Caenorhabditis elegans: one gene and its partner. The protein of the gene in region 2 purifies or fractionates together with the protein of the main gene of each other region. This does not show direct contact. Each region holds a gene or a part of one and is shown on either strand. Other genes may lie near its edges.

What was found.
Region 1: the proteins of rnp-9 (region 2) and F48F5.6 fractionate together in Caenorhabditis elegans (co-fractionation; one large-scale study listed by BioGRID). This does not show direct contact.

What each region holds. Positions count from the first base shown.
Region 1 is NC_003283.11:20,447,377-20,452,620, reverse strand, and holds F48F5.6 (uncharacterized protein), read left to right. Parts: upstream 1-2,661; 5' UTR 2,662-2,674; coding exon 2,675-2,871; intron 2,872-4,124; coding exon 4,125-4,239; 3' UTR 4,240-4,346; downstream 4,347-5,244.
Region 2 is NC_003284.9:10,165,433-10,173,033, forward strand, and holds rnp-9 (RRM domain-containing protein), read left to right. Parts: upstream 1-1,872; 5' UTR 1,873-2,021; intron 2,022-2,611; 5' UTR 2,612-2,620; coding exon 2,621-2,719; intron 2,720-2,770; coding exon 2,771-2,863; intron 2,864-3,007; coding exon 3,008-3,068; intron 3,069-3,546; coding exon 3,547-3,634; intron 3,635-3,961; coding exon 3,962-4,037; intron 4,038-4,115; coding exon 4,116-4,235; intron 4,236-4,281; coding exon 4,282-4,348; intron 4,349-5,503; coding exon 5,504-5,691; intron 5,692-5,745; coding exon 5,746-5,892; 3' UTR 5,893-6,261; downstream 6,262-7,601. Other genes in the region: C07A4.2 (SCP domain-containing protein), read left to right, coding at 6,914-7,006, 7,065-7,219, 7,268-7,367, 7,416-7,601.

The DNA.
Region 1 (5,244 bases), on a different chromosome or scaffold from region 2:
CGGTGAAGTCTGAGCATTTTTCAAATTTTTGCCCGAATGGCGCAATGGGTTTTTCCAGAACTACCAATCAGAATACCGGGGTTCGAGCCCGCGCTGTGGGGAATATTTTTTCTCGGCAGGGCTAAGGCAATTTCAGTGTGTTGTGTTCGAATTATAAAGTTAGAAAACATGTGTAAACTAGTTTTTCGCTATTTTTTGGAATTTTGACGCATTTTCGGAAAATTTTGGGTAAATGGCTCAGTGGGATTTTTCAGAACTTCCAATCACAAGGCCGCGGTTCGAGTCCGCACTGTGGTCGAAACTTTTTTTTCATTGTTTTGAAATGGTTAGTAAAGTAATTGCGAGATGCTGAGTTTAAATTCTAAAATTTTTTGAGCTTACAAGCAATTAAAAATCGTTTTTCATCACTTTTGAAAATCTTTATTCGAATGGCTCAGTGGGATTTTCCAAAACTTCCTATCACAAGACCGGGGTTCGAGTTTGCATCAAAACTTTTTATTTTCCCATAGTTTTCCACGTCTTTTGCAATGTGTAAAACCACTAAAAAAGTGATTAAAAATTCGAGGTGGGTGCCGACATCTCTCCTGATTTTCTCTCGATTTTCTCACCGAGCCGGAGCCAACTGTTGCCCAGTTTTTGATCTCTCAATCTGTCACACTATCTGCCGTGTGATACCTTTACTACAGAGATAGAGAAATAGGAAAAGTTGTGGGAAGAGGCTCGGAGCACAAGAAGAACCCGAGAATGTTTGCTCTTTTTGTGCTGATCATTTTTACCTCTTACCGCCGGCATACACACACACGCAGAGAGACGGCAAAAAGGTTTGCGGTAATCTGAGAATTTCAAAATGTTCTTCCCCATTCTTTTCTTCCACTGTTTTTTTTTCTAAATTTTAAGAGGTCAAGATCGAACTTTAAAGTCATTTTTGAACTTTGAAACTTGAAATTTTGAATTTAGACCCATCAATTACCCTATGCCCTATGAACGTAGCTTAAAAACCAAGAAAAAACTTTGACCACAGTGCGGACTTGAACCCCGGTCTTTTGATTGGTGGTTGTGGAAAATCCTACTGAGCCATTCGGGCAAAATTTTGAAAAATGCTGAATTTGTGTAATTTTGGGCCTTTGATTCTATTGGAAAAAACATTTCAAAAAAAGGAAATTTCAGCCTTTCAATCTCAATAACTTTTAGCTTTGAGTCGAAATTCAATATACTCATGCTAAATCAGGGGTGCGAATTCGGCAAACCGGCAATTTTCCGGTTTGCCGATTTGTCGGAAGTTTTCAATTCCGGCAAATTGCCAATTTGTCGTTTGCCGGATATCAGATTTGCGGGGAATGTTTAGAGGATTTTTTTTTCAAAAGACGAAAACACTTAAACCTGTGCCCTTTTTAATTTTTTCCCGATTATAATTAAAAATCTGAAATTCCCAAAAAAAATGTGCAAAACCACAATTTGCAGAAAATTTCCGGCATTCCCCGTTTTTCTGGCAAATTCGACAAATCGGCAATTCCAGCAGTTTGCCGATTTGCCGGAATCGTTTGCCGCCCACCCTTGCCCTAAATTACCCCTGCCCGCAGTATTTCAAGATTACTATGGAAAATGTGGTCAAATCTATTTTCTTGGGTTACTGTAGCTTGGTGTTTGCGTACCCAACACCGATTTTGACAGAATTTTGCACTAACGTTTGAAAATTGGGCCATCCGACTAATTTGACGATACAATTCAAATTTTTGAAATTTGAAGTATTTTCATCAAGTTTTGAGCTCTTTGAGCTTGTCAGATTTTCCAAATTACTTATTTTTATTGAAAAATATTGATTTTTTCCGATTTTATTTTTCTTTCAAGTGCGTTCCAAGTAAAATCCGGTACATTTTTAGTTGAACCTCATGGGAATTGCTTCTTGCAAACAACTTTGAATGACATTTTTGACTTGCACTCTTTTTTTGGTGAAATTTTTGGATGGGGAAGAAGAAAACGAAAAAAGAGCGAAGAACAAACTCATTTTTGGTGAAATATCTTATTAGGTTAAACTGGAGGAACTTTTCTTCGTTTTTTTGTGAAATTTTTTTTGAAATTTGGGGTTTTTCCGCTGTTTCAATTTTTCCCAGAGTTTTGAAATTTGAGTTTCAATTTTTTTTTGCATGCTCAAAATCTTTTTGGTAAAAATTTCATTTTAAAAAAATTGCAAAAAAACCTACAATTTCGAATTTTAACAAGATTCAGACTTAAGCTATTATCTATGTCTGAAATCCCAATTTCTAACAATTTTTGAGCTTTAAACCTTTAAAATTCAGATTCAGCACTTTTTATTACCTAACAAGCAACGAAAAAAAAATCGACCACCGTGTGGACTCGAACCCCGGTCTTCTGCTTTGTAGTTCTGGAAAATCCCACTGAGCCATTTGAGCGAAATTTCGAAAATGCCGGAAATTGTCACAGACATTATTCTTGGAATTTTTCGTGATTTTGTATGCTTTAACTTTTTTTGTAACTAATATTGAACGCTTTAATTTTAGTCTTTTTTTTTGTTGATAAAAATTGAAAAAAAATCGAAATTTTCACAATTTTTTTTGTATTTCTTTAAACTTACTATTAAATCCCAATTATTCTACTTTTTAAAATTTTCTTCACAAATTCGCCCACAAAACCTTTTTATAGTCCAGCACAAGCAATGTACCCAGAATATGGGCTGGACGTGGACGAATTCAACCTTGTGCTCATTATTTTCTCGGCCACAGTCGTATTTTTCGCCTTAATCGCCTTAATTTTGATGTACTGCACAATGAGTTGTGGTTGCTGCAGACGAAAGGAAAAACGAAGAAAATTGAGCAATATTCCACAGGTTATGGTTACTCAGCATAGAGACAAGTGAGTTTTTATTGCTAAAATTAGACCGAAAATTGAAAATTTATTTTGTGCAAAATCTCGTCAAATCTGATGTATGGCACTCAAATATCAAGCTACAGTAATCCAGAATACTAGATTTCACGAAATTAAAAAAAAGACCAAAACCTTAAAATTGGGGAATAGGGGTAATTTAGAGTGAGGATTTTGAATTTCGCCTCAATTTTAAAAATGATTAAGAGTGAAAAGCTGAAATTTCAATTTTCAGAAATATTTTACCCATAGAATTAAATATATTAATACCTAATATGACCGCAAATCGGCAAACCGGAAAATTGCCGGTTTGCCGAATTTGCACCCCTGATTTAGAATGAGTATATTGAATTTCAACTCAAAGTTAAAAGTTATTGAGATTGAAAGACTGAAAATTCCTTTTTTGGAAATATTTTTCCCATAGCATTAAAGACCCAAAATTACACAAATTCAGAATTTTTCAAAATTTCGCCCAAATGTCTCAGTAGGATTTTCCATTACCACCAATCAGAAGACCGGGGTTCGAGTCCGCACTGTGGTCATACTTTTTTTTTGGTGTTTAAGCTATGTTTATAGGGCAATCTATGGGCGCTGAATTCAAAATTTTCAGTTTTAAAAATATATTCAAAACTTTTGAGAGTTGAAAAGTATGACAACTTCAAAATATTTGGATTCTGATTTGAAATTTTGATTCCACGTGACAAACTGCACCTATTCCCAAAATTTCTGAATTTTAGTGCAAACCCACTTGAAATTTGGTGTCTGGTAGGGAAATACCAAACTACAGTAACCCGGACACAAAACTACAGTAGAGTATTTTTGAATTGAAATTTATAATTTTTTACTTCTGAAAACTATAAAAAATTCGAATACTCAAAATTTTAGTAGAAATTCGAACTCCGCGTGGCAAAATACATATAACTCTTAAGTTCCAAAAACTTTGTTCAAAACTCTAGGAAATCAAGTACAGTAGTAACCCGGGACACCTGATTTTACGACATTTTGCACTGAAAATTTTGAAAATTATAGTTAGGGGGGATTGTAGAAACTATGTAGCAACCTAGGATCCAAAATCACATTGATTTTTTTGTCAAAATTTATTATTTCAAACAAACTTTTTTTGAAATTTTATGGACAATATCGTTTGATGCCGAGTGTGGTCTAGGGATAATTTTAACGTAAATTCCGATTTCCAGCTCTAAATTTCAAATTTCAAACTTCCAGAATCCATTTTTTGTTTCCAGAACACCCCTATCAATTGACTGCCCAGATTTGGATTACATCGACGCTCGCAACACAAATCTTGTTTCATCAACAGTTCAAGTGGAGTCAGTTCATCAAACCCCAACTCTTTCATAATTTTTGATTTTTTTACTTTTTCCAATGCTTTTATGTGTTCAAAAAATATCATATTTGCTACATGTTTCTAGAAAAAAAATTTTGGATATAAATTTGCTTATTTTGCTAAAATCTCAGAGAATTCCAAAAAATTCAGCCATTTCCAATCAATTTCAAAAAAGTTCAGAAAGCATTTCAGAGCCATTTGAGAAAATTTCAAAAACGCAATTTCCAATTCATTTCAAAAAATTTCAGGGAATATTTGAAAATTATTCGATGATATTACAAAAATCTCAAAAGCATTGCGGTATGTTTTATAGAATCAAAAAACCTTTCAGGAAATTGTCAATGATTAGAGAAATGTTAATACTAATTTAGAGAAACTTGATGAAAGTTTAAGCAGGCCCAGGAATTTTCAATAATAATAGTCAAGTCAAGAAAAGGTGTAAAATTTCAGAAAATTTGAAAATATTTGTAGAATTCTTAACAAAATTTTTTCTAATTTTTGGGAAGAGTTCTGAATTTTTTAAAGGAATTTTTAATGGTGGAGTAGCGTCTGTGGGTTTTTTTGCCCTAAATGACAGAATACAGTCCCAATATACCGAATTTAAAAACATTTTAATTTTCTAAACTTTTTATGATTTTTTCAAAAAAAATCCCGCGCAAATCTGTGACGTCATTTTTGAAATTTTTGCGTTTAAAGGCCAAACTAATTGGTTTTTCTATATTTTTTTTCAAAAAATGAATCAAGATAGAATGAATGACAGAAATTGTTTAGGTGCTCGGATGGGTCACTCTCGCAGAAGAGGTAGGCGGAAAGGAGACAGTTATATGGTGTGCGTCTTTCCACACGTTCACCTCCTTGGCGTCACTCTCTTTGTAAACGCCGTCTTCTTATCGAGGACCATAATTTTTACAGCATCGCTATATTCACCTCTTCCTCTTGTGCAAGTCGTGTTGTGCTTGCCAGTTGGCATCCCCAGTTCATCTCCAGATGTTATCGCGTATGGTCAAAGAAATGGTATG
Region 2 (7,601 bases):
TTCTCCCTTTTTTACACTTTTCCATAGTTTATATCAACACATTGCATGGTATACAGATTGATATTTGCGATTGAATAAAATAAACATTTGAAGGTGTAAACTGGTCAGTTTGCTCTTGCTCATTCTGCTATTTGGTTTTACCCTTTTTTTCAAATTGATAAGACTTCTTTAAATTAGAAGTTTAATTTTTTGAAAAGATTTGTTTCCAAATAATGCTTAATTAACGTATAAATGGAAACATACTTTTTTTTCAAAATTTAAGGATATAGTACACAAATACATACTGCTTCAGAATGTTCAACCATTTAAGGATACATTTGATTCAAGTAATTTTAATAATTAATTTTTTTGTTTGTATGTAATTTATACAAATCAGAAAATGTTGGTCGTTTACAGATTGAGTCATCTTATTGTTTTTAATCATTGATCTTCGTGACAAAAATGCCGCTCGTTTCCCAAAAATCTATTCCCTTTTTGGAATACGCCATCAAGGCGGATTTTCAATCTTGAAGTATCATTTCCTGAAGTTTTGATATAAGAATAAAATATTATAATTGTAAACTTTATTGATTACAAATCGATTTTGAAGTTGATATTCTTGTTTAACATTTTAATCCTGAAAACACATTAACAAGAAACGTGCTTCATTTGCGCTAAAGTTTTTATCTTTGAAAAAGTCAATGGACTAACATTTTTAGCTACCTGCTTTTAACTACTATTAAGCTTAAGCGATTCGAAAAATTACGGTCTTCACGTCTGTCACTGTGAAACTCTTTTTCTCCTATTTGTAATGTTCTTCACCTAATAAACTGGTGGTTGTATCGATTTGTTGTTCGTCTTCCTTTCCAATACGAATCTGATTGTTATTGTTCAAAAAAGGAACATTTTTATTTCCTCTCGGCTGACTCCGTGCACACTGTCTATTCCTCCCTATTCACAAGCATTAAAACATTCTTTGTTCGTGTCCACCGTTGTCTATTTTTTTTGCCTTCTGCTAAAAGCTCTTTCAGATGCATGAATCTATGAATTTAGGTGTCTCGATTTGGTGCGAGACCCTATTCTCACAGTTGAAGACATTTTCCGCCTTTTTTTATGGGGCCCATGCCTCTCTCAAATATCATTTGTTTATTCCATTTTGCGTATTACCGCTATTCAGCCACACGAACCCTCTAGTGCATTCGTTGCTCATTTTTCGAGTGAGACTAATGGACTACTACTAGATGAATAGGAAAATGAAAATGGAAGAATCCTGAGCTCTCTTACATGAAGAATGACAACGTATAAAAAAGTCAAAGGAAAGGAAAGGTGCTCAAGCTAGATGAGAAGAATAAAAGGAGGTCACAAGGGGTGGGCACTCGGTAAATCTCAAATCTGGTGGGAATGGATGGTAAAATCACAAGAATGAAACGACGTTCCGCTCTTGAGCCCATCGTGAGAAACAACACTGGATGGGTTAAATGTGGAGTCCGGTCTTAGCTCCCAAGTTTGTTGCACATTTTTTCCTTCCCTTCCTTTCCATCCTCTTATTCGCATTTTTCTTGTTTCCGACATAGTCTACACCTCAATATATTCTATTGTTTTCGACTTTCTTAATTAGTTCTCCACCCAATTCCCCTTGGGACAAGGCGGAGCACATCACTCTGCTACAAGAAGATGCTCGGCCATGAAAAATGAATATTGCACCTTCTTCCTCCTTCTACTTTTTTATTTTTTGACTCATTTTCCGGTTATATTCCTTGCCACATTTTTCCATTTATCGATAATCCATTATCACAGTTTAGTTACCTTGTTAGTTTCGCGAGGGATTTGAAAACAAATCTCTTGGCTCTGTTTTTGCTCTTATTTTTCAATGGGAATGCTAATCCGATTCACAGCGTTTTTCCAGGAACATTTGCATTCTTCTCACATTTAAACAAGTCCTGGAACACCACAGTGGTGTTAGTACACAATTCAAGCTGAAACGATCACAGGACCTCATCTCCGTACACGAAGCCGAATATGGTTCGGCTCAGCAGGCGAAGGTAGGTGACTTTTTAGAAATTGAAAGCAATTCGTTGGTACTAAAACCGAGGGCAGTACAAGAACATTAGCATGTGCTTGTAATAAGCCATGTAATTGTTATTCCCTTTTTTTGCTCATAATAGGTAATGCAAATTTGCAATAGATTTTTTAATTGCCACATTCCCGTCAGTAATTTTCCTGGCAAAGAAAAGGAACACAATCTGATCAATCATAAAAAAGAAAGGTGGTTTACAATTCTAAATAAATACAAATGGATAATGCATCTGGTTTCTGTAGAAATAGTGACGTGAACGTTGTTAAGTATGTTCAACAATTGATTTTCTCAAGTTGTCAGAAATATTTAAGTTGTTGCTTTTCCAAATGTTAAGCAGAGAAAAAACAACACTTTTAGTTAAAACAAGCTTCCCAAAACTAAGTTTTATTACATATTGTCTGAATTCACAGGTTAACTGATATGTTTCGAACGATTTTTTAGAAGCAATCACGTGCAATTTTGAGATTATTCTTTCTAGATTAGTCTTTCATATTGATTCTTTCTGAAAAATTGAACTTTGTCAAAACACAGAAATGTTTAAAACAGTCCTTGCAGAAAGCACTCATGTGCTTACCAACTGCGACTCCTCAGACATCCTTGCTTTACTCTCAACAAATGCCTATGAAAAACCTATACTCGCAGTTCCCGGCAGGTTTATTAGACGTAGGTTGATCGGATATTGTGCAACTCAATAATTCATATACCTGTGTTCAGACACAGTCGATTCAATCCTTGGACACATGTCCTCTGCTTCTCCAGACCGCCAGCCTTCCTTCTTTGTCACACATCGGTCTTCCACACTCTTTGGTTTGTTCATTTGCCCATTTCCGCTTATTTCGCACCCTTCTTTCCCCCTTTAGTTACCCTTTCCTCTCGCGCCAATCTTTTTGTCCGATCGAAATACATTCAACTAGTACGGATTCTCATTTGGCAAATGCAATTGTGTTGCAGGAATCAGCCGTGTTGCACTCAGCCTCGGAGCCGCCGATGGAGATGCGAATTGATACAAGCAGTGAGTGTAGATTTGCAGATTTGGATGAAAAGTGTGAAAAATGAATTTGTTTGAATCAAAGATCCTATCAATCTTTATTTTTCAATTACTTTTCTGGCGCCGTATTGGTGTCAGGTCATAAGTCAAAATAGCTGTGAAAAAATATGAGACCAAAAAAAGAAGATAAAGATAAGTCATTTGATTGACCTTATCAATCACACAGACGGATTCACTTTTTTTTTTCAAAACCGTTCTGGGTGTTATTGTATTCTTTGGTTGTTCTTATCACCCTTATCAGACAATTCGAGGTTGTTTAGCCTCATAGCTGCTAACCGTTTTTCTTGAAAGTCACACGTTTTTTATCGTTTTTTATGTTCCGTGGTCAAGAATTGGAAAATATGAAACTGACGACCAAGATGAGATGAAATGAAACCATGCGTGCCAGCACTAAAAAAGAAGAAGATTAGCAATGCAATATCATTTCTTTGCTTCTTTTCAGAGCATTTTCATGTTTTTGTCGGGGATTTGAGCAAGGACGTGAGCAATGAGCTTTTAAAATCAACGTTTACAAAATTCGGAGAAGTCAGGTAAATTTGAGGATAAAATACTTAATTTTGCTTGAACACGTTAACACTATACAAAAGAGTTCGAATCAAAAAACAAACAACACCCTCGTCATTTGGATTTAAAAAAACTTACATAACTTATTTTTTTGAGTAACTAGCAATTTTCCATAAAAATTTTTAAAAGAGTATATCGAAACCGTACTTGGCAAAAAAATATCATCATTCCCAAACCGAAATTTAATAAATTTTATGACAAAATATTGAGCAAAACTGAAAGCAATATTCTCCAACCATTGTTAGATTTTTTACCCAATCTTGACATTTATACCGCGGAAGTATTTTTTTCAGTGAAGCTAAAGTGATTCGAGATGTTCAGACTCAGAAATCAAAAGGATACGGATTTGTGTCATTTCCCAACAAACAAGTTAGTTTCTCTCTGTTTTTTTTACGAAGCCCATTGGTCCTATTTATTTTCGTCGAGAAAACTGAGCCTTGTTTTTAGAATGCAGAGAACGCGATAGCCGGAATGAACGGAAAATGGATTGGGAAACGAGCTGTGCGGACCAACTGGGCGGCACGAAAAAACAGCGAGGAGAATCGCGACAAGCTGACTTTTGAACAGGTGAGATGTTGTAACGTTAAATCTCAATAAAACATGACAGCTCCAGGTGTTCAACTCAACGAAAGCCGATAACACGTCAGTTTATGTTGGGAACATAAGTCAACAGACTACAGGTTAGTTATAGGTAGACAGTGTACTTCATATCAGTCATTAAAAAGGAAATAAATAGAGTTTAAGTTTTTGAAATAAAGAAAACAATCTTTAGAATTACATCTATAGTTTCTTCTGAAATTTAAAGAATTGGGAAATTTGCATTAATAGAGAGACCGTATACTGCTCCGGTAACCAATGGTGAAAGTTGTAGTAGCGCTAGTGGGTAAATTGCTAAAAACCAGTTCCATGGGGACTAAATGGCCAAATATTATGGCCAAAAAAATAGTAAAACTTTCCAAAAATTGTTTTGAAAATTTTTTATTGGCAGTTCGCGATCGCTTTAAGTCACTTTTATAGAAAACTACGCACTTTTATAGAAAACTACGCAATCAAACGAAAAAAGTAATTTTACAAATTAAAAAAAATACTTTTACTGAAATATTTCGTCATTGTGGTTCCATATGCATGTTTCAAAGCAATTTCCCCATTGGCTCTACTCCGCAGTGAAACATCGAAGTTTATAATTGTTATAAATTTTATTTGACAAATAATATTGGAAACTTAATTGAAACGTTTATTTTTTTTAGAATTTTTCCAAATCATACTAATATTTTTGATATAGGTTTTCCGTGAAATTTAATTTTTTAAAGTAAACTAGTGTTATTGAGCATTTGGATAATACAAACTGATTTTTAAGAAGTAAGTTGACAGGCGTTGTAATTTTAATTTTGCTAATTTCGCAATGCACATCTATGATACATCTTTGAACAAATTAATAGCAATAGTTTTAAAAAGTTAATGCTCTATCTGATACATTTTACTTGTACTGGTTAAAATGGTATTTTTGCAGGCATTTTTTAATGTTTACAATCAAATTAAGACACTGTAGTTGTTGACAAAACATAAAACCATTAAAAGATCATTTCAATTTCTCGAATGGCCTTATTCGGTAACTTTCCCATAGTTTATTAACAGAGTAAACCAGTTCCATGTCTTTATCTCATTAACAAACTTTCTAACGGATATGAGGCTATCATCATTTTTCCTCATCACATCCTACTGCTTGACACTTCCGCCTGGTAGACAGTGAGAACGTCCCATGAAATTTGATAAATGACTTTCTGCCTTTTATCCTATCACTGCCATATGTTATATCTATGTACATATTTTTATAGACGCTGATCTCCGCGATTTATTCTCAACATATGGTGATATAGCGGAAGTGCGTATTTTCAAAACCCAAAGGTACGCGTTCGTCAGATATGAGAAAAAAGAGTGTGCCACAAAAGCAATAATGGAGATGAATGGAAAGGAGATGGCTGGAAATCAAGTCAGATGTTCCTGGGGAAGAACTCAGGCAGTGGTAATAAATAATCAGTTATCAAATGCTTTGAAAATCACAGTATTTAATTTGCAGCCTAATCAAGCATTAAATCCTCTCCCAATTGATTTGTCATCCTTGATGATGCCTACAATGCTTCCAACTACAATCCCACTAATTCAAAATCCCTTCTTGAACTACGAGCCAGCCACTCTTTTGTACAGTTCCTTCCCACAATGGTGATTAATTTATTAAGACTCTTTAGGAAGAAAATGAAACGCAAAAGGAATAATGAGTCAGAACACGGTTACTTTTTCAAATTTCAAAATATTTAAATTTCCGCTTTTTTGTGAGTGATTCAATGTTTTTTTTTCTTTTTTCGAGTTTCCGGTGTTTCATTTTCCATCACAGTTTTCTTCCTACAAATAGAGGTCCGAGTACATTTTTTCTTGTTCATTTTTAACTTTTCTTCCCGTCTGATGTTTCCTGAGTGGTTCTTTTTACTTCTTTTCTGTCATTTTCCTGCTATTCATATTTTCACATTTTTCACAGAATGATAATCATTTTTGTTTGTGCAAAGGGATTTTAATAAATTATTACAATGGGATAATTGAATGAAAGTTCAAAAGCTGTGTATGTGTGGGAAGGATAGAGAAACATAGAGAGAACTAAAGCATTATGCTATTAATGTTTCAAATCATCATGACTAAGAATGTTCACGTAACAATTTATCTGCTTGACAACACTTTTAGATTATTTGCGAAATTTTTTTTTCAGAAAATTTCAATTCCAAATTACTAAGAAAAAGTTTCAAAACTATTGTTCATTTTACACGTGTCTGCACTTTCAAGATGTTTTCCGGTGATCTCATGATTTGAATAATGTGTCCACCTACACTCATTTTTGTTAGGGTCAGCAAAGTGGTATTCCAAAAACCAAAAACCTGATACTTTGCATTGTCGAATAAAATTGAAATTAAATTTTCAAAGTACAATGTCCTTCTAGGGGCCCACCCATTATTTCATGCGTCATAAGAGTCTGTATGTCTGCTACCAACTATCAGATATAAAGTGACTGTATCTTAACTATACAGCATACTGATTTCACAAATCACTGTGGTCTACCACTATACCATTCTGTAATCTTCTACTACTACTGCTGCCTCCTCCTGACAAGGTCATTGATATCCTACTTTGCCCGCCCACCCCCGGGAGACCCATCGATTCCGAAAAATCACTGCTAGTGTCCTATTCAAACTTGGCGCATGTCTATCATTCAGGCCCATATGTCACTGTCCTTATCACTCGCTCTTTTTTCACTTCTCTTTTTCCAAATACCGACCACTGATGCAAAAAGCGTAAGGGATAATAGAACTTAATGATATATCTTTACTTTCACTACGTTCATCTTTTCAGATCACCGTGTCAGTAAAGGAATACACAGGAATCAGAAGAAATGAAATTCGTGGAGTCGAAAATCAATTCTATTACTTCCAGTTTTGCACATGTCCATCAACATTTACTGAAAGAAACTTTAAAGTCAGCGAATGTGTTTGCTCAGACGCTCAAAAGTACTTTAATACAATACTTTAGGTAATTAAATAACGTTAATTTTTCAGAGGAAAAAAACTAGATGATTCTATTCCACAAGCGAAATTCTTCTCTTCCTCAAGAAACTGTGGCACCGGTTTTTGTATCAACGCAAAAATAGACAATGAAGTAAATTTTTTTAAAGATCACTTTTTCATAAATAATATTTCGTTACAGCAAGGTGAGAAATTGTTTGTCAAAGTGTTCATTGGTTCCACTGTTCTCACCTACCCGGATTATCAAGTGCTTCCGGCCAGGTCAACAAAGAGTGTTGCCATTCTGAAAACTAATAAAAGCTCGAAAATAAGATTGACATACTCGACTGAAACGGATGATGATGGAACGTCAAAGACTGCGATAGAA